2 linked regions of the Arabidopsis thaliana genome follow. The protein of the gene in region 1 interacts with the protein of each later gene in a pairwise test. Each region holds a gene or a part of one and is shown on either strand. Other genes may lie near its edges.

Region 1 (10,283 bases):
GGTCGTACGGTGGCTCTGGAGAAGATTACTGAGTTTCTTTCTCGTGGCGACAAGAGCTCCAAATAGTTGTTTTTACCATCTCCAATGGTAAGGATCCCTTAGAATTTTTAATTGTAAATTTTGACAAATACAAAGTATGTTGTTACTTGTAGTTTTGTATGATCTTAGGAAAACTTTGCCTCAAATATGTGTTTGAGATTTACAGAGAAGCAGAAAACAGGAGGTCTAATATGTGTTTGCCTCAACTTGGAACTCTTCCTTAGGATGTCCTATTCACTAAGCATTTATCATACTTTTCATGTTTCCATCAAGATTCATATGAATACAAACATCTCAAACTCTAGGGGTCTTCTATCAAAATTGGAATTTTTCTTTTGGATTGTAAACGTAACGTATAACAGGAAGGGGAAACTACAGCTTGTGTGTTGAGCCAAACGATGAGTTGAATGTTGTTGTTTCCAAGAAAGTCTTACCTTGAGTTATGCGGAGGAAGGAGGAAGCTATGGTGGTGGTTGTGGGCGGTTCATGAGATTGTGTTGGTGCTAAGATATGTAATCAGATGGGTGGATAACATAGAGACCGGGCTGATTCAAATTGACGAAGGGCTGATGATGAAGGAGGGCGTGTAGCTGAGAGTGAGAATCCTGATGATGCTGCATTTGAAAACAGTGGCGGTGCTGTAGCTGCTACGGCGGTCCCAACACTGGACTGATCATGCCCTTGCCATGTCCTGGCTGGGAAACTTTGATGAGAACGTAACATAAGCCATTAAGCCCTTTCTCTGGTGTTCTTTCCTGGAGACAAGAATTGAACTTTTAGGACAGAAGATTGTTCATTCAAATCTTCAAGAATATCACAACATAGAAGAAGAACTAACAAGCAACAACATACACTCCTTCTCAAAGGATATCAAAGAGTTGAGCTCAAGTACTTAACTGATCATATAAACAGTAACCACTTGATGAACATCTAGCTGAATTTTCTTATCAAACAAATTACTCATAGGTAGGGTAAAGTTCGATAAATTTAAAATTGTCATGTGGTTCAAGAAATTGAAAGGCGTATCACATGCCACTGCAGCCATGTGGTTCTCTATCTGTGAATAGATCAAATGAAGAGCAAGAAATTCATGAATAAATGAAAAACCACGAGGGCTCGAGCTAGCAAATGAGACAGTATCTTTGAGTTCCAGATTGCTATGACATATCGACAAAGAAACATTTGACTAACAGAGTGCATAATGAGAAGAAATAAAAGGCTAGGAAGAAAACAAAGTAACGGATACAATTAGAGTGGAAATATGGATAGCAGAATACACACCTCCAGCACTTTCATCATGTAGTCATTAAGTTTCAATTTTGCTTTAATGAAACTTATTGGATCAAAGAGTTTAATAGAATTTGATTGAATTGAATTGGACACATAATTACAGATTTTCACGCATTGCAAAAGATTTTAAATATTCTTTTCAATTCTAACGATTACATTTTCAGCATTTTATTAGAATTGAATAGAATTAAAAAGTACTAATAATTTTTCTAATTCTCTGTTTCTAATTTCAGTTTTGCTAACAACTGAACCTATTTCTTCTCCACAGTCTCCACTTGTAAATCTCTAATCATACGTTTCAAAATCTACAACATTTCCTCCTTTTTCTTCGTCTTAAAACCACTCTCAATACTGCTAAGTTTAACAGATCGCATAACTTCTCCGCTTTTCTCGCTAAATCCTCTCTGATCATTGTAGATTTCCAAACATCTTCTTTGTATTCTTCTCGGAGTTCACGTCGATAACGAGAGCTATCTCCGCAGCTAAGGGCGTCGATGATGATTATGCACAATGACAAGAGTACTCTATGGTGTAAGGAACCGTTTTCTGAGAACAAGTAACATTAGGCTTGAAAGTTTGGAGAGTACTTGAAGACAAGAATCAGGAACATCAACAATACTAACATTAGGCTTATTAATCGTGCAAAAAGGGAAATTAGCTGCTTATTAGCCTTTACATTAGATCTAGCAGACCCTTTACATTAGCCTTATACGACCATTTGTTTTGTGCATTTTGCACTAATATTTCTATTAAATTCTTGGCAAATGACATTGTCATGAAAATTAGATAATATTGAATAACACTTGAATTGAGTAGAATTAAGAAATTGAGAAACTGAATAACACTAGAATTTAAAAGAATTTATAAAACGCCTAATTGAATAACAATAGAATCTATATTCTAATAAATTCGGTCAAAGTCATTGCTCCAATACCCCCCACTTTAAGAACTTGAATTGTAGTCATTTAGTTTTGTCTGCTCAAATGGTGGGGTTCTTTAAATTTTTTTTAACCAAAGTAAATGGTGTTTGGTGTAAAAACTGAGAATTCATACAAAGATACTCATTCAAGTAAACATAAAACTCTCTTGCTCTTCTCAAAGATCCTCCTTGACCTCGACGACATCAGCTGTGCACCACCACCACTACTTCAAAATCTGCTGAGTTATTTGGGATTGAGTCAGAGTACATACAATAGGCAAACTTTACATAAAGTGAATTCAGTAAACCTATTAAATGCAGTTTCATAAAGCTTTTCTCCGAAGATAAACATATTATATGGAGAAAAATATCAAAAAAATCGCGAACTTTCAAATTTGGGACGAAAAAAGCACGAACTTTCGAAATGTCATTTAAATCGTAAAGCTTGGTTTGACTTTTTGAAAAAATAAACAAGTTTCGTTGACTTGGCCATTTACTTTCTGTTAAACTTAAATGGCCATTTAAAGATCGTAGTAGTTGGCACATTTAAGACATGCCGTTAAATCTTATTAAGATTGATTATTCACCAAATAAGAATAAGAATAAAAGTTTCTAACTAAAAAATAATTAAATTGACATATTGCCAATTTTGGTTTCTTTTTTTAATAAATCTCTTTGTATATAAAAATATTAATTAGCGGAATGACTAATATTACATAATTATAATTACATAAATTCCATATATATTTCTAAGTTTACATAATTAATATATTTTAATATAGAAAGTAATTATAATTCTAAAAATATTAATTTGCAAGGTTTATAAAAATGCTAATTAATGATATGGCAAACCGCAATTTGTAGTTTAAAATCTTAAAATGCTATGTAAAAATGGTATGTAAAAATGCTAATTAATGACATGGCACAATGTTAATTCGAAGCAAAATGTTAATTCGAAGCAAATAGCTTCGACTTTTCTATATCATAGATTGTGAAGTAAGCAGTGGAGAACACACTCAAAGAAGAAGAAAAAAATGTGAAAAAAAGTAAACTGCCATTGTATACACAGAGAAGAAGTCATGGTTGTGGTTTTCATTTCTTGCGAGACATCGCTGCTACGATACCACCGGCTATGAGACCCACAGCTCCAAAGGCTGTAGCCGTGATCCCTATCCCTATAACACCATCTGAGAATAAACAAATACCATTTAGTAACTCTGTAAGTCAATTAGGATTTGTTACAAACATTATCTATCCCTAGAAACATCCATCAATTCAAGTGTTTAATCCCTAGAACCATCCATCAATTCAAGTGTTTAAGTTTGACGAGTGGCTTACCCTTTGTGATTTTGTCTTCGATGGTCTTCTTTAGGACCAAAGCTTGTCTCCAATCAGCTTGCATCTATGAAAACAAACCATACATCAGAGAGCAAAAGAATAAGCACATATATATATATATAAGCAGCACACAGTAGTATATAGCGGATGACAGGGTCTATAAAGAAAGGATTTGGGAAGTGGATGAAACCTCGATACAGCGGTCCACGAGCTGCCTGCTCCTTGAGTAATTCCCACTTCTGTAATACCCAACAGCAAGAAGATAGAGCTTCTCTCGGTCCTCCAATGGAGGGGCACTGCTTTCCAGAGATGCTGAAAAAAACAACAACAACAAAAACAAATTTATCAATATTCTGTTTAAATGATGCAGAAGAATAGCTTCAGCTTTCTTGTGTCAAAACCAGTGCTAAGTCTTGCAGCCAAACGAATATGTCAGGCCATAGTTTTCACAGAACAAGATAGGAGTACTACTACCTTCAAGCATGGCTATTCCACGTTGAACATCTTCCGTTTGACGGGAATGAACAAGGGCCCATGACAATCGCATCAAGCACTCTTTCTTAAGATCTTCAGTGCCAGAATCTGTGGCCTCTCGAACCTCTCTTTCACATCCCTGCACATCAACACAACAGAGTTTAGCAGATGAAGCTAGACGATTGAAGAAGATACAAAGCTATCAAACAAAAAACCATTGATGCTGTGACATTTGGTAAAGTTCTACACAGCTATCAAATTCGGATCCAACATAAGGGTGCAAAAATCAGTAATCACGCTCATTTGAGGACGAATTTTACAGCAACTCATGAACTTCTAAAGCTCGATTCAATCGAATCCAATAAAAAAATATCCTCGAGAAAGCAAATCCGATTTCAGAAATTTCCAAGCAGAAACACGAAAACAGGTCTAAATTTCTGCAAATGGTTCATGATTCCATTTGCCTACAAGAGATGGTTCATCTTCTTCGGAAACATAGGCGGAAAAAAGCGAAACAAATGAAGGATATAGAGAAAACTTACAGCGATGACATCTCCGTCGCACCATGGGATCTTATCGCTGCCGCTGAAGAAAGTACCGACGGAGTCAAAGAATTGTCCGATCTTAGCATCCATTGAAGGCGATTTTGAGCTTTGATTGATGAGGTTTTCGTTTCTGGTCTCTTTCTTAATTCTTAAGGAGAGTTTCTTAAGGAGAGAAGTTGGACTTGTTGCCCAAGCTCAGGGAAACAGACGATATTTATCCCTTGAATTTATCAACAAGACCCCTGTATTGTTAAGACTTACCCACATTGATCACCATATCTTCTGTTTTGTTATTAACAACCCTTTGGAATAAAAAACTTCTGTGACATGTGATGGTGTATTACTGATTTTTTCCAATAAATTTACAAGATTCATAACAACTAGATAAGAAAAGGAAAAAAACTGATTTAATCTTTCACGATTAGATGTTTAACGTGGAGTTTTAACTCAATCAAGCAGTTATTACTATTGATGGTTTGTAAAAGTAATTTCTATTTTTTAAGTTATTAAAAATATCTGAAGCAACAAATTTCATATTTTAGATCATAGTACTTTTTTGTTGTCGATTTTAATTTAGGTGATGTATTTTGTTTAATTGAATAACAGTTTAACGTTAAAATACATATATATTCATGTCCATAGAAAATACAAGACTTATAAAAGCATCAAAATAATCGGAGAGATTTGCTGAAAGTTTGCCACTTCTTCAAACTCTTTGGATCAATATCACACGCCTCTTCTTTTCTTCCCCTGCCCATTTTTTTGCTACAATATCTAATTGGTTTCATCAGATTTTTTAGTATCTTATTCAGTCCTAGTCGTCGTCGGGCTTGGCTAGCCGGAGCTGCTGTATGTATCGGGGAATCATCGACGACTGCACTGTACATCAAAGAGAAGCCTGACTCAGATAAACTTCGACCAAGCAAGGCATTGTTGAGGTGAGCCTCGAAAGATAACCGCTCAAACCGATCCATCAATGAGCTTTGATTGTCCTCGAACCTCTGAAGAAATGTTGGAGTCTCCATGGCCTGTTTTTGTGTATTGATAGCGTGTAGTGACTGCTCTTTGTACGGAAAACATAAATGGTAATGTTTTCAAGAACAAGCAAAGGATCTTTTTTTTTTCCTTAACTTTTTTTCTTGTGTTCAAAGCAACGGATCTTCTAGGATTAAAAACAAAACCTTAGAAACATACAAGTTATTTTTTCCTGAAAATAAGTACACAAGATGGTTTTTAATTGGTTTCTTCACCACACACATCGGAAGGCAACATGCGATTCCGTGAGTTCGCCTCTGTAATTCACCTTCACAACTTGCCCTTTCTCTAATCCGTAGTACCGGACGATAGCATCTTTCTTTGAAATCCGAGGAAGCTGTTAAATAAATTTTGGGATGAACGGTTCAAAAAGTGAGACTATTACTTTTATTTAGCTGCAAGAAATGGATAATGGACCTGTTTTTCCTCAATGCTGAACTTCTTGAGAAGTGTTGTCTTCTCTTCATCATTCAACACCTGATGTTGTGGCTTCAGTGAATGTTTGGTTATGTTGACTAGCAGATCCGTTATCTTAACAAGACAGCAAAAAGGAAACTAGATGTTACAGATTTGAAGTACTAACCAAGAAAAATTAGATTAGGAAAATATATAGGTGTACCAACCTGGAATATCTCGACCTTGAAAGAAAAAAGTTCAATGGCTTTCAAGGCTTGATTGGTTACATGGTTTTGCAGAACCAATATCAGCCCAGTTATGGTTTCTTGGCTAAGTATATCCGCTACTACACTGCGGATTGCGTTGACTTTAACCATACTAGTACCAAAAAAGACAATTTTTACCTGAACAAGCAAAATCACAACACTTCTTGAAGCAGACCCTTTAAACCAATAACACAATGTTACTATATCCAGAGAATCACTATGAGATATCTGTCGTTATGCCATAAGACTAGAGCTGATGCAAGAAACATCATGAGTTGAAAATAGAAGACATTTATAAGTAACAAAAATCTTGTAGCAATCAATATATGAAATCGACTAGTTGAAAGCAGGTGACAAGCATGTCTATAAGCATACAAAAAGAGGTAACATGAACCAAACAACCAACAAGAAAAGGGGTAAGATTTTCAACAAATATCCAACTTAACCGTTCTTTTGCAGTTCAATCTCATTCTAGAATTAAACATGGAAACTTGTAGCTATCATCAGAACTCGCACATTTGACATTGACCATACTCTAAAGATTGAAGAGATCACTCAATGAATTGTCCGAATGTTCAATAGCCATAGGAAGAGATCTAAGAATCACTTTGCTAGTTGTTACCAGAAACATTTCACATTACAAAAATTCAGAGGACAAACAAATGAGGTATGCTACTTGATAAGGACAATAAAGTAGTAAACTTTAGTCATCTGAATCCACAAAAGTAGCAATTCAAACTTCAATTAGAAGATAAGAAATTTAAAAGAGTCACAAATTTCATATTCCATCATCTTCTTCACTGCCAAACAGTAAACCCCACAACATGCAAAGACAAAAAAACAGCTAGAAATCGAAAAATCACAACGAATACGAAAATACTTCGATATACCTTTTTGGTAGAATCGGAGCGATGCAGAGCGGAGATGCGAAGACGATCAACATCGGGACGTTCACCGTAAACAGTTCGAAAATCGTGAAGGGAGAGATTGATATCTTCGTCGGAGACTTCGTAGCCTCTGTCTCGGAGCATCTGCAAGCCATTTCGCCGCGCAAGATAGTATCTATGACTCTCTTCACTCGATAGATCCACGTATTTGCTCAGACACAGAACCGAAGCTGTCTCTTTCCCTTTCACTTCCATTTTTGTCTCCCTTATCTGAGCAAAAGTCGTCGAGTCCAGTGATGGGATTTAAAGGGAGACTAAACGTTGTCGTTTTAGGATTTAAGAACAGAAGGAAGAAAGCTAATATAGGTGAGCGAGCAGGTGACATCAATCAATCAAACTACATTTGTGGTAATGTTGCACATATTTTTCATTGATAAAAAATACCTTGCAAACAAAGCAAATCATTCGGCTATTATGCGAATTATCAATCATCATCTACCATTTGATGTACTTCATATAGTAAGAATCATTTAGTTCAAAAGGTCAAGAGCGTAAATGGAACAAAAGAACACAACTCATAAGAGTAAATAATAAAAGGCTTGAGCCAACTTACTTATTTGAATATACATTACTAACCAAATACCATGTTTAGTCAATCAATCTATATCCCCTTTCTCACACACATCTTTTGATCAAACTGATCACTTAGAGACAACACACACGACAACGCACCAATCCATTCTCATTGCATTTAGGACACCGCTTAAACCGTTCATCTTGTTCTTCAAACACTTTGGTGCTACCATCACAGTTAGTACAAGGCACAAACCTTGCATCACCACAGCTCCGGCATGTCCCCAAGCGTTCACAAGCAGGGAAATCTTTCAACATCTCTGCTAATTCACCACCATCATTTAGCTGCATAATCTCCTCCACGCCACCAATGTGAGTTCCTCTGATAAACACCTGAGGCAAACAAACCGGTTTCTCTGCGGCGCCAAGCACGCTTTGAAGCTCTTTCCTGTATTTGGAATCCATAGAGATGTCACGTTCGTCTACGGACACTTGAACTCCTCTCAATATCGCTCTAACGCAACAACAATCCTCGTATGTCTTTCGAATTCCTCTGAGGGTTGTGAAGTAGAGTACAATCTTGTCTTCTGTTCCTGGTAATCTCGGTTTGGCTGGTGATGAAATCAATTGACTAGAGGATACAGATTTTGGTTCTTCGCTTATTAAGATGGATGGATTTGATGATGGGCTACAAGAGAGAGACTTTGTGGGTCTATGAGGGTTTCTAGTATTACTATGATTGCTTAATAGCTTAGAAGACAAAGCTTTCTTGTAGGATGAGACAATGCTGGGATCTAAATCAGAGAGAAATGATTCTTCAGACAAATGCTTCCACAAAGGTTGCTTAGGTTTATAAGTCAAAGGAACCCAATCTCCATCGTCTTCTTCGATTCTCACAATCTCGTAAGATTCATCCAATTTCAACGAAGACCCATTTAAACTCACATTCCGATTCGGGTCGGGTTTAGAGCAAAAATCCGAATTTAGACGCTTACCCGGTTTGGGAATTTCGAATTCGAATTCATCGTCCAAGCCATCCATAAGCTCCCAAGTGTTTATGACTGAATCAGGAGAGACCGGATCTGGTGTGTTCTTCCCGGAGATTGAGATACGAGGCAGCGTTTGTTGGTCGGAAGAGGAGTTTTTGGATCCATCGAGATCAAGGAGGAGAAGAGAACCGTACGATGTAGATGTAAGGGAAACAAGGTGATGAGAGTCGCCTTTTCTCGCCGGAGGATGGTGAACCAACGGCGTCGGAAACGAAAAAGCTCTCTGCACCGCCGGTGAAGATGAATCGGAGCTGAATTTGGTCGGCGGTGGAGAAAACGCAGATGAGGAAGAAGCAGAAGAAACGGAAGAAGCGGTCTTTGAAGCAGAAGAACCCATTACGAAATCGAATTTAAAAACACTGACTTTAATGAATAATAGTTTTTAGTTTCTTTGCTCTTTCTGGTTTCTTCTGAGATTGTTTGGTTATCTCTGGGAATGATAGAGAACAGAGAGAGAAAAGAGAAAGGTGGAGAATAGCTGTCTAGGGCAGTTGAAGGTGGAAGATGGTGAAATTTAATGGCAGAAGAAAGAAACGATGTTGATGTTGATTTTCGGACACAACAACAGTTCTCGATTTGATTTTGATTGTGTAACCAAAGCTTATGTATAGAAGAAGAACCAAATTCCAAGAACTTTCCTTCACTGTCTATAAATTGAGCCAAACGTTTTTAAAATAATGAAGAAAAATAAAATATTAAAGAAAAATGTCATTATCTTCATAACTGCAATCTTTAATTCTTTATGATATTTTTATTAGAACTAAACGAAGATTGGAGGAGAAAAAAGGTTGATCAATCAAACAAATATTGACATGTCAGTTCCAAAAGATTTTATAATTAATTTTGGGGGTTCACAATATACATCTACATCTAAATTTTAGTTGAATTTATTTTTGCAATGCTTTATTTCTAAATTGCTTTTTTAATTTACGTCTTTGAAAATGTTTATTCCAAAATTTATCTTTTGAAATTTGCATTCAAACAAAATGTTTTGATATGACTCTATCTAGATATAAATATTAAGAATATATAAATTAAAAATATTAATTTTTATATCTACATATATTAAAATTTAATTTTAAAGTAAAAACATATAGATAATATTAAAGGTTTGAATGATAAATTTCAAGATAGGACCTAGACAGAGTATTCACGTGAATAATTTAAATCCTTGACTTTACGGAAAGTTTCTATATCTGACCTGTTATTAACTTTTCTTCTACCATAATTTAATATCATCATCTCATTGAACTCTTCCTTATTCATTTTTATTCATAATCAAACATTTTATTCATTTTGATTGATCTACACATACCTTTTTCTATTTCCTAAGATGATGTTTTGCAGTTAGCTGGTACGATTTAGTTGACTAGTCTTTGTAATGAAAGCTGTATATTCTAATCCCCACGAGAGAAAGTATGGTGCTTTGCTGTTACATTTTTTGTTTTTAATGAATTTGCTGTTACATTTTT
Region 2 (11,191 bases), on another chromosome or scaffold:
TAATCGTATGTAGCAACTAGGTTTTCTTTTTGGTTAAAACAACTTTTTGAGGAAGAAAAAAATGCCTAGTGTAATACTGGTTGATCTAGAATGATTGTCCTTGATCCACATTTTTTTGTATGTTTGGTTGGAAATTATGAAGTATATATTTATCTTTCAGTGAAAAAAAAAATATTTTTAATTTTTAAAGCAAGACATGGTAATTTGAATGCACTCGCCACTCCATTTTGTTCATGCTTTGAGACAAAAACAAAACATAGAAAGGCTGACAAGGCCCATGGGAAGTGATGGAGGCCAAGTTTAGTTCTTAGAAACCTTTACTATATTATGACTTATTAAGCCCAATATATCACGATCGACACGTGCTGTTGACAACTTGACATCAGGCTAAGCAAATACGCAGGGATAACAAAAATATAATTTCTAGTGTCAGTTTTACTTTTACCTTATTTTACTCACAGGTACGTAGTTTTTAGGCTATCCGTAACAATCCACCTATACTATACACATAATCTATATATAGTCTCTATCCAATTCATTTTAAAGTAATATGAACTTTCTAATTTTACCTAAACTATAAAATTCATCCCAACTATACAAAAAGCTTGTCAATTATAATTTAAAACATTTTAAACGGTTTCGCGTAATGGCAAATCTGTGAATTACCAATAGATGAGAGGGTTTTTAAAATAGTTAGTTACACCACAATTATTACGCCTCCCGTTCCGTTAAGTCACCGTTTATAACCGACACGTGTCAATAAAACAAACCATCGGCATAAGTAACTCCATAACATCCAAATAACGGCGCCTCCAGTTTCCCCGTTAAAGATTCCCCGTCACTGTAACGGGACCACTAAAACACGCCATTTCTCTATCACACACAGCACAAAACTCAATCCTGACCGTTCAAAACCAAATTCATCATCTTTCTTTCTTCTTCTTCCTCATCCTCTCAATCATATCTCTCTCTCTCACAGAGATTGTGACTTCACGCACACGTAACCTAAATCGAAGATGGTGAGAAAATATAGAAAAGCTAAAGGAATTGTAGAAGCTGGAGTTTCGTCAACGTATATGCAGCTACGGAGCCGGAGAATTGTTTATGTTAGATCGGAAAAATCAAGCTCTGTCTCCGTCGTCGGTGATAATGGAGTTTCGTCGTCTTGTAGTGGAAGCAATGAATATAAGAAGAAAGAATTAATACATCTGGAGGTTATTTAATGTTGTTGATTCTAGATTCTTGTAACTGTATATGTATCATTTAATGTTAATGTATTTTTTTTTGAAATTTTGAAATTTTTGTAGGAGGAAGATAAAGATGGTGACACTGAAACGTCGACGTATCGACGGTGAGTGTTAAAAAAAAAACTGAAAATGATTTGAATTTTGAAGGTTTTATTATTTTCCCGGTTATTTATTTGACTCTCTCTTCAATAAATTTAGAATCTTGCTTGTGAGTTATTTTAGGGGTACGAAGAGGAAGCTTTTTGAAAATCTGAGAGAGGAGGAGAAAGAAGAATTAAGTAAATCCATGGAGAATTATTCATCGGAATTTGAATCGGCGGTTAAAGAATCGTTAGATTGTTGTTGTAGCGGGAGGAAAACGATGGAGGAGACGGTGACGGCGGAGGAGGAGGAGAAGGCGAAATTGATGACGGAGATGCCAACGGAATCGGAAATTGAAGATTTTTTTGTGGAAGCTGAGAAACAACTCAAAGAAAAATTCAAGAAGAAGTAAGTTTTTATTTTATTTTGTGAGTTTGATTTTTATAGATAATATATTTTTTATTCATAATTTAAAATTGATTTTGAGGTAAAATTAAGAGTGAGTTTATTTTTTTTTAATTAGGTACAATTTCGATTTCGAGAAGGAGAAGCCATTAGAAGGACGTTACGAATGGGTAAAGTTAGAGTGAAGAAGAAGAAGAAGTTTATGGTTTTTTTTTTAACTTTTTAGATTTTAATATTTCAGGGAATAAGTTAATTTTATTTTGTTGATTTGGAAATATAAGATTTGTAGGAGGAATGTTTTTAGAAGTACGAAATTGCACAGAAAAAGAAGAAAGCTTTTTAACAGATTTTAGAGCCCAGAAAAGTCGTGTCTTTTAGCTCTACTTTTACCTCTTCTTCGAATCTTGTGTATCTTTTAGCATATTCTTTAGTACATTTTTATGTTTTTGGTGACTGATAAAATTCTATCCCCACACAGGTACAACCACACTCATTTTTTTGTCTTCTCCGTTTTAATAATATTCAACCAAAAACATCAAATGCATTTTGGTAGATTATCTTACCGCCCTAAACGCTTAAAATTATTTTAGAATTTTATTTCTTACAACGTTTGATATGGATTAAAAAGTACTATGAAATTAGTTATTATTGTTCTACTACTTAAATTAACTAATCGACAATTTCAGTGCAGTTTTTTGTTGAACAAAATCGTACCAACCATGTCAGCTAACCACACCAACTAATTTTTTTGTTTCATATTCAGCACCGAATATGATTGAGCTCGACCAATCAGAATTTCAAGATGATTCTGTTATTCTTAAAGTTTATTGATTAATAACAAATCACAAACATTCTATCACACGAAACTTGGTTTGAAACTTTTCAAAATTTTAATTATAATAATACTAGCATATAATAAAACTTTAGATCTGTAAAGGGCATACTGTACTGGCCCAATGGTTAGAGAATTTTGAGATAATGCCATAAATACATTATTCCAAATGATGCAGGACCATTTTGTAACTAGACAAATTATCCGAAGACTTGGAAACAAAACTCTTTCATGGACCATTTCAGAAAATCTTCAAAACAAATGATCATGGACCATTTTGTATATGTAAGCTTAATTCAGATCACAAACAGGTTAAATGAGGGACTCAAATAAACAAAAACAATTCTTTCATCGAGGGCTGTTTTATTTTCGTGATATTGTTAAGGGAAACTTAAAGATATGTTTGGAATGGCCAAGTCAACTAAATTAACTATTTTTTAAGAAGTCAAACTAAACTTTAGGATTTAAATGACATTTGAAAAGTTCATGTTTTTTTCGTCAACAATATGAAAGTTCATGTTTTCTCAACATTTTTTTCTTTAATCAATCTATTAATTTTCACTAAAGAATTGTTGTTTTGAAAATATGAACGGAGCCAAAAAAAAAAAGAGTATTGGTCCCGACCAGTTTTGTGTATACTATGTGTTTCTTTTATATCAACAAATTTAACTTTCATCCAAGAAAACCCACGCCCATATCGAGTGCCCTGCCCTCGAAGCCATGGCTATTTGGAGACCATAAGAATTCAAAGTTACACTTGTATAACTCTGTTGTATAAGACCAAAACTATCACTTGTTTTTAACCTCAATTTGGATGGATTATCGTCTTGTCATTTTTAGTCATCTTGTATTCTTGTTAAGTGATTTTTCGTTAAGTAATGGTTTCCTTATATTCCATATTTTTTTTTACTGTTTGGTAAGTTTCTGTAATAAAGTTTTACTCCTCATTTACTCTGTTGTATTTTTCTATTCTCATATTCCATAATTCATCTTTTTGGAAATGAATTTTGAATATGTGGTTAGTGACTAGGTCCACCCCAAACGTCCTAGTAACGCCTAAAGAAGTTTTTGAAGAAAGGTAATGTTCTTCAAATCTCTGCTAGAAAAAACTCAATTAACTCAACTGCTTACCAATCCGTTTGCAACAGTAAGTTGTCAACCATATGACGAAACTAAACCTGATCCAAAATCGTTGACTTGAGTAAATGTTTTTACAGTCTCCAGTATGTTTACAGCTGTAAATATAAAATCTTATTGAATCAGTTGAAAACAAAGTTCCAGTGAACGCAGAGAGTTTCTTTCCTCAGTAAGAAAATGAAACTTACTACGACAATGAGAGATCATCAAAATGTTGTAAGAAAAAGAAACTAAAAGTGAAAAAAATGCATATTTGTGATGCTGTGGTATATAAATTATATACATTACACCAAACCAAAACCAGATTCTTCTTTTTGGTTGTTCTGTCACTGCAATTCACCAACAGGTGCTTCGTTTAGCCATAAGAAGTGGATGAAATCGTACAGCTTTGCGCTTACACTAACCTGTAAACCATGAGAGAAAAAAACATTTACACAGATTTCTCAGAAACTGAAAAACATGTTTGTCGGATAAAACCATACCTTATAAGGAGTTGGGTTTAATCTCCTCATATGATCAGGTCGCATGTTTTCGAGCTGTTTGATGCAACGGTCTCTTATCTCTTTCAAAGGCGGTAATACTTCTCTTGCTTCATCTTCATTGGTATAGAGAAACAATAATCAGTGAAAAGCATTGTCATTAATAACTCTACGGTACCGGAAAATCTTTACCTGCACTTCCACGCCAATAACATTTGAGGAGCTCTTCGACACGTTGTGGCACTACATATGCTCTTTTGGATTCGTTGAATGGGTGACGACAAAGTAAACGCTCACCAACCTTTGATATCAAGAAAGATATTATGTAAAAATGCAATAAGGTAATGAGATTAAAATCTTTGAGAGAGTTATCTTTCGTTTTACCTTTGGAGGTGGTTCGTTCTCTCCAGTCATTATATCTACCAGAGGGTAACCTTCTTTGCCGTATAATCTGTAACTTCGCTTTTTACACGGTATTGATACCTAAACGAATCAGAATGATAATCAGATTAAGTGCAATGTGACATTGAATGTTCAGAACACCAAGAGAGAGAGAGAGAGTTTTAACCTTTGTAACATCTTCAGAAAGTTTAATCCGAGGCTGATTGTTTATCTCCACAAGTTTGAAAACGCAACCTAAGGCCGCTTGTGAATAGCAAGTGACCAAGTAGGTCCCGATGCCAAAAGCATCCACCTCATGTCCCTATAGAGATGAAAGAAAAAACACTGCTTAATAATAATCAATCTTTCGGGGGCATGGCATTTGAGAGTGGGTTAGGGAGTCACCTGTTTATTTAAAGCGTCAATCGTCTCTTCATTTAGATCATTACTAGCAGTGACGACCATCTTCCCAAAACCAGGCACTTTTAGTTCTCTCTCTACCGTGCAGAAGAAATTTCTGGCCTCTCTAGATAGATAAGCTAAATCACCTGAATCCAGTCTAATACCTAATGCTTTATATCTGCGCAGCACAATAAACATCAATTGCATCTCAAATTCCATATGATCCTGAAGAAGTACAAAGTCAAGTCAGACGATCGGGTATTGATAAGAGATTCTTACACACCCAAAGTCATTGAGTGCTAAAGCAACTGCACAGAAGTTAGGGATTCCACTCTTCATCACCTGTAAAACAGTCAGCAAAACACTAATATAAGAGTTTATTAGAAATCCTAAGGCTCAAATGAGCTATCTACTATGGTGTTTAATGCTCACATCGTATGTATCTACGAGGGCAAGAAAAGTTTTGGGGAATGCCAGTGCATATGAGGTGAAAGCTGCTAGCTCGCTTTGATTTGTCTCAGAGAAAATGCCACTTAGAGATGGTGAATACTGTCATCCACAAAGAAACAAAACATAAGAAAAACTGTGACAAAGATTCAAGCAAAGGGTTGAAGCAGAAATAGAACAATGGTCCTGAGACTAGAAAACAGGAAGAGGAAGAGCAAAATGTGCAATAAACAAACCTGAATCTTTTTTAACCATGTCTGAACATGACTAACAAAATCCTCGCACGTGGTTTTCCCATCAGCACTACGAAGTACTTTGTCAACAATCTCATCAGTACTCTGCAATCCAAAGTTAACTAATTATATCGAAAATGCTTTTGTGATATTGTTATGAGCGAGGATATTAAGTGTGCATCAGAACCATGGCTAATAAAGTTATAGCAACAAAGGCATTGACAAGAATATCTTATTTTCACGAAACTTTGTGTTATCGTCTCTACTAGCTAACTCAAGTATGTAACCTCCACATAAAAATTGAAACTTTTGGCTGAAGTGAACTGACCATGAATGAGCTAACATAAGCATGAGAGTGTGTTCCACGAAGAGGAATCCCAAAAAGTTTTCCAGCTGCTACATTACTGTCATTGGCAAAATACCCAACAACACAAAACACATCATTTCCACATTCCCTTTCACCTACTTCCAGATCAACAAAAACAAAAAGCAAGACTTGCCTTGTTGCATCAAAACCTCCAAGGTAGCAATATTTTGATGCGCTTATTGCACCATCCGGACCCTAAGATTCCAACACTAATAACATCAGACAGAGATGGAAAGAACAACACAAAAGGCAATATATCAAAAAACAAGAGAGAGATTTATAGGAAACCTGAGCCCTTCGAGCACCAAACTCGAGTAGACTCTTAGATTTTCCGGCAACAAAGCGATGCCTAGCTGCGTTAGTAGCTACCAAAGATGCAAAATTGACAAGATTGAGGAATGGAGTTTCCAACAATTGAACAACCTATGGAGATTTTACAACAACTGATGAATCATTCATTCAAGAAAACTATTCCTTAAACAATCTTCACAAATGAAAGAGACAAAGAGACTCACACCAACAGGTCCTTCAACTCTCATGAGAGGTACTTTAGGAAAAACAACTGATCCTTCCGGAATTGCATAAACTTCAACATCAGAACAATCAAGCCCTCTAAGATAATCACAAAAAGCTTCCTAATTTGAATCACAAACATAAAACCCTGATTTAAAAATCCAAACTTTAATCAATAACAATCTAAAAACAAACAGATTTTTGATATACCTCAGATCCAGGCAAACACTCTTGAACGAAATCGATTTCTTCATCAGTCAATTTGAAATTGGCTAAGAACTTAACACACTCTTCTAATCCAGCAAACACAGTGTACTCACCACCAAATGGGTTCTTACGAAAATACAGATCGAAACTGAAAAGGAAACAAAAACAATTTCAAATATACAAAACCATTCAGAATTCAACATCAAAAGCAGAGCATGAGAAGAGATTGTGTGTTGTACACGGATCGTTCGTTGTGTTTGCCAGCTTTCCAATAAGCATAAGCCATGGTGAATTGATAAAGATCATTGAGTAAAGGTGTGACCATTGGATTCGTTGGTCCGTCAATGATCTTCTGACCCAATTCTGAGCCGTTCTCTTTCGGCTCCATTGTCGTCGCTTCCAATTTGTGTGGAACAATTGGCTTCGTATGAGTGAGTGTGTGTGTGATTACGAGAGAGTGAATGGACGAGGAACACTGGTTCTTGGTTGTTTATATTGGAGTGGTCAAAGGAAAAAGAAAAAAACAAGTGTGTTTAAAGAAAGAGACGACGACCACCACACAAAGCAAAACTTGCTTTGAACTTGACCTAGTCTTTCTTTAAGAGCCTTTATTGGTTTCTAATTATTTCTCATTTTAGAGTTTAGACTAAAACGAGGTTTAATTTTCGTGGTTGTTGGCTCTTAGATTATTGGAATTTTCACGTTTAAAAGAATTTTATGTGTTGAAAATTGGCATATGGTAGCCAAATTCAACTAATTATAATAATTACTCAGAAAAATTTACATATTGGTATTGGTAACAAATAACAATATCTTGTATCTCTAATAAATTAATGAAAAGAGTTTAGCTGTTTTAATCTAAAAAACTTAAATTACAGAGGCGGGGAATTTTTTCATTTCAAATACATTTTTTTGGTGTGATTTATTTCACATACATAATTCGGAAAACTTGTATAGCGTAAATCTATTGATTAATAATGGTACACACTTGCTGTGTTATGATATATTTGTGTATTTAATGATTTTAGTTTATTGACTATTTTTAATGTGCAATATTAATGATTTTTAGCTCTTTTGCAATCAAATATGCAGTATGATATTTGATTAGTAGTAAATATTTACATTTCACATATATGTTATAGTATTTGATGAATATTGTACTTATAATATATAATATTTGTTAACATTAAAATAGAAAAGGTTAATGTAGATTAATACATCTTAAAACTTCAGTTTCTTAAAATATATAAATATTGTAAAAATGTTCAGATGCTTATTATGGAAAAACAAAACAAAACAGAATTGCATAACACCAAAAATTTTAAACATGATTATGAAAAAATCAATCCAAATTTAGGTACATTTATTTATCAAAGTTTAATTTTACATCAAACAATAGTATCTAAAATGAATTAAAATGAACTCAAACTTAAGACTAAACATAAGATTGTCCCAACTTGGTTTTTGAAGCCATATCGCATATGGCCTAACCATATTCATGGTCTCTTTTATTTGTCAGTGTCATGATATGAGTATCACAATTTGATAGGGTTCTCTTGAAGTTGTTGATTAAAAATAATCAAAACAAATAATTCTGGAGAGAGCCTCCTACGTGGCAGTCAGTGGTTGGTTGATATATTTAACCAACAAAAAATCCTTGTGTCTTTATTTTTCATTCCGTCGGGAAATTTTCTCACTCTCTCTATTGGTCGTCTCTCTCGACGCTGCTCACCATTCCGAGTTCGTTTCACCAAATCGATGACCCAATTCTATATGTGTTTGTCCCAAATCCAATCTCCCACCAAACCCTTGCTTCGTTCCCTCGAATCAGAGCATTGTCAGATAGGAAGATGACTAAGCTTTGATTGATTTAGTTGTGTAGATGATTTGGTTCTTTAGAAAACGAAGAAGTTATCTGATTGATCTGTTTCGTTTTATTGTTTGTTGCATGGGGATCAGTGTTGTTGATTTGGATCCCATAAGAACCAGCTTTTGCTTGGGTACAGTCATTCTAGTAATCTAGTCTGTTCTCTTGGGTTATTAATATTTTCTTCAGTTTGCATTATTAGCGAGAGGAAGTCTACATATGTGTTTGATTGATTCGTAATGCTGGTTATCGTTAACACCTTTATATGGTTTTAAAATCAGGTGATCGTGTGCCCACTAAGTTGAAGAAAGCCATCATGCAAGCCCGAGAAGACAAGAAGCTGACTCAGTCCCAACTTGCTCAAGTATTTTCTCTTTTCTCTGTATCTATCTCTTTCTTTTGTTGCTTTTTCTTAGTAATTGGCTTCATGATGGTTATGTTGTATGTTTTGAGTCATTGGCTTCATAGATGTACAAGACTAGGAGTTTGTTTTGTTGGCGTTATGTATTTTGGTGATAGACTCTGTAACTATGGAACACATATAGCTCATGATTTGGTGATAGTAATTCGCTTCATAGTTAAATGTATCTCTAATTTGATGATAGTAATTGGCTTCTAATTTGAGTGAGTCATGCAGATTCAAGCCAAACAAAAAAAAAAAAATTATAAGAATTTTAATTTGTTGATGAGTAGAGGAACAAAAACCTTTTAATTTTTGAATAACACTAGATTTGATATGGTTTTTAAGAAAAACAAAAATCTTCTAAAATCCCTAATCCAATACATCCCCCTAAATGTTTTGGTTTACTAATTTTGTTTTAATTAGCTCATAATTTATGACAAAATTATATATTTAACTAAACATTATAATATTTATTTCACATCTATTTTATAATATTTCCAAAAAATGTATTTTAATATTTTATGCTTTGTAATATTAAGTTGTATGAAATAAAATAATTTATATGAATATTTTTTTTTTAAGAGACCTCCTTTAAGAGAACCTACCATTGGAGTATAAAAAACCAAGAAATAATACACAAAGTTCTCTTGTTAGTTTTTTGAAAATTTAATCATAAAAAAATGGAGAGAGCCATTGGCATAAAAATCTAGCTAGCTAGAAACTTTTGTATGATATCACTAAAACACAAAACGTTAAACATATTAACCATTGGCATAAAAATATGTATTTTTTAGTAGATTCTGTCACACTAACAAAGAAAAACATAGAAATTTTCTATATTCTTTGTTGAAATGTAGAAAATTTTAACATATGCAATGATATCCAAGGAGCTTTCTCCATTTAAGACATTTATTCAACAAATAGAAATTATTTTTTCTTGCATTTCAACAAAGAAATCTTCCACCTGTATATGTTTTTTTCATATAAATAGAATTAAAATAATATAGCTATCAAAAACACTTGATAAAAGCATATGCACATTTAAGATTGAGTTACAAAATTAGTATTTAAGATGAAAAGAAAAATAATTAAGATTTTTTTTTAGGATCAAGTTTAATGGCTATAATAACATCTTCTTGCACATATATGTAGTTATGTACGTTTCAACACAGTATTATGGTGTAGCAAAAGAGCAGCGAAGTATATTAATATTCTGAACTCTTATTTATTCAATCTAAAATATAATATTGTGTACGAGATGTCTTTTATATATTCTTTTATTTGACAAAGCTAGCATATGATTCATTTTCCACATGATGATGGCATATACATCGACCATAGTTTACCATGAAATCCTTCTGTCATGAACTTTATCTGCATGCCTTTTTAAGACATGTTAACTACGACACGTTTTTCTCTTTGTCTAACACTCCATGAACTTGCCCCATGTTTTCTTGTGTTTTTTTTTTTCTCTTGGAGAACACTGCACATGTAGCAGGCTTAACTATCTTTCAAACTACTCGGTTCGACAGATCTTTCTTATAGAGATCTTCGTATAGCATATCGACTAATTTTGTACGGTCAAAACTCAAAAGCTTGTTTCAACTGCAAACAATTCTGTTGGTTAAAAATGTCAACCAAAGAGTGTCACGAGGAAGAATTCAAATTCATGTACGTTCCATGATTTAAGAAAAATCATCAGCGAGCACTGTGATTTTACTTCCTTTTTTTTTTTTTTGGTAATTAACATACTGTGATAAGAGAGTTTTGGATTCTTCTCATCTCAACATTTTCCGTGTAATTTATAAAGACCTTTTTCGGTCAATATATTTTAACCAGACTCGTAATTGGCCAGAAAAATAAGAGAGTTTAATTAATTTCTCTAAAATTATTGGTGCTAATCACAGTCTTGTGACACAAGAAACCAATCACGTGGGTTCCAACTTCCAAAGCCCTAGTGTAATACGTTACAAAACGTTACAACTTGCAGCTGGAAAAAAGATAGATAACGTTACAAAACTTCTATTAACTGATATTAAAGTTTCACCAAGGAAGAGTGTAATACGTATTACCACCTGTCTTTGCGTAGTTTGATTGATCAATGTCTTTGATTTCTTAATATATATACTGTAAATGAGAAAGCCTCAATAACTCAAACAAACATCGAGGCAAAGCCAAATTAAGTTGTCA

Evidence for each region.
Region 2: the proteins of BIGYIN (region 1) and NAPRT2 interact in a two-hybrid assay, tested with the Arabidopsis thaliana proteins (one large-scale study listed by BioGRID).

What each region holds. Positions count from the first base shown.
Region 1 is NC_003074.8:21,123,039-21,133,321, reverse strand, and holds BIGYIN (Tetratricopeptide repeat (TPR)-like superfamily protein), read right to left. Parts: upstream 4,927-10,283; 5' UTR 4,696-4,926; coding exon 4,603-4,695; intron 4,200-4,602; coding exon 4,061-4,199; intron 3,899-4,060; coding exon 3,777-3,898; intron 3,651-3,776; coding exon 3,587-3,650; intron 3,436-3,586; coding exon 3,341-3,435; 3' UTR 3,314-3,340; exon of another isoform or gene 3,066-3,313; intron 2,485-3,065; 3' UTR 2,233-2,484; downstream 1-2,232. Other genes in the region: AT3G57100 (transmembrane protein, putative (DUF677)), read left to right, coding at 1-66; NRPE5 (Eukaryotic rpb5 RNA polymerase subunit family protein), read right to left, coding at 5,852-5,977, 6,058-6,171, 6,264-6,440, 7,193-7,444; AT3G57072 (uncharacterized protein), read left to right, coding at 7,486-7,623; AT3G57070 (Glutaredoxin family protein), read right to left, coding at 7,895-9,148. UniProt on the Arabidopsis thaliana protein: Component of the peroxisomal and mitochondrial division machineries. Plays a role in promoting the fission of mitochondria and peroxisomes.
Region 2 is NC_003071.7:9,967,747-9,978,937, reverse strand, and holds NAPRT2 (nicotinate phosphoribosyltransferase 2), read right to left. Parts: upstream 7,336-11,191; 5' UTR 7,120-7,335; coding exon 6,971-7,119; intron 6,880-6,970; coding exon 6,735-6,879; intron 6,647-6,734; coding exon 6,527-6,646; intron 6,435-6,526; coding exon 6,300-6,434; intron 6,207-6,299; coding exon 6,145-6,206; intron 6,049-6,144; coding exon 5,973-6,048; intron 5,750-5,972; coding exon 5,648-5,749; intron 5,514-5,647; coding exon 5,397-5,513; intron 5,307-5,396; coding exon 5,248-5,306; intron 5,143-5,247; coding exon 4,968-5,142; intron 4,885-4,967; coding exon 4,750-4,884; intron 4,665-4,749; coding exon 4,566-4,664; intron 4,483-4,565; coding exon 4,374-4,482; intron 4,298-4,373; coding exon 4,185-4,297; coding exon of another isoform or gene 4,146-4,184; exon of another isoform or gene 4,107-4,145; coding exon 4,029-4,106; 3' UTR 3,731-4,028; downstream 1-3,730. Other genes in the region: ICK1 (Cyclin-dependent kinase inhibitor family protein), read left to right, coding at 1,017-1,214, 1,308-1,351, 1,470-1,736, 1,852-1,918. UniProt on the Arabidopsis thaliana protein: Catalyzes the first step in the biosynthesis of NAD from nicotinic acid, the ATP-dependent synthesis of beta-nicotinate D-ribonucleotide from nicotinate and 5-phospho-D-ribose 1-phosphate.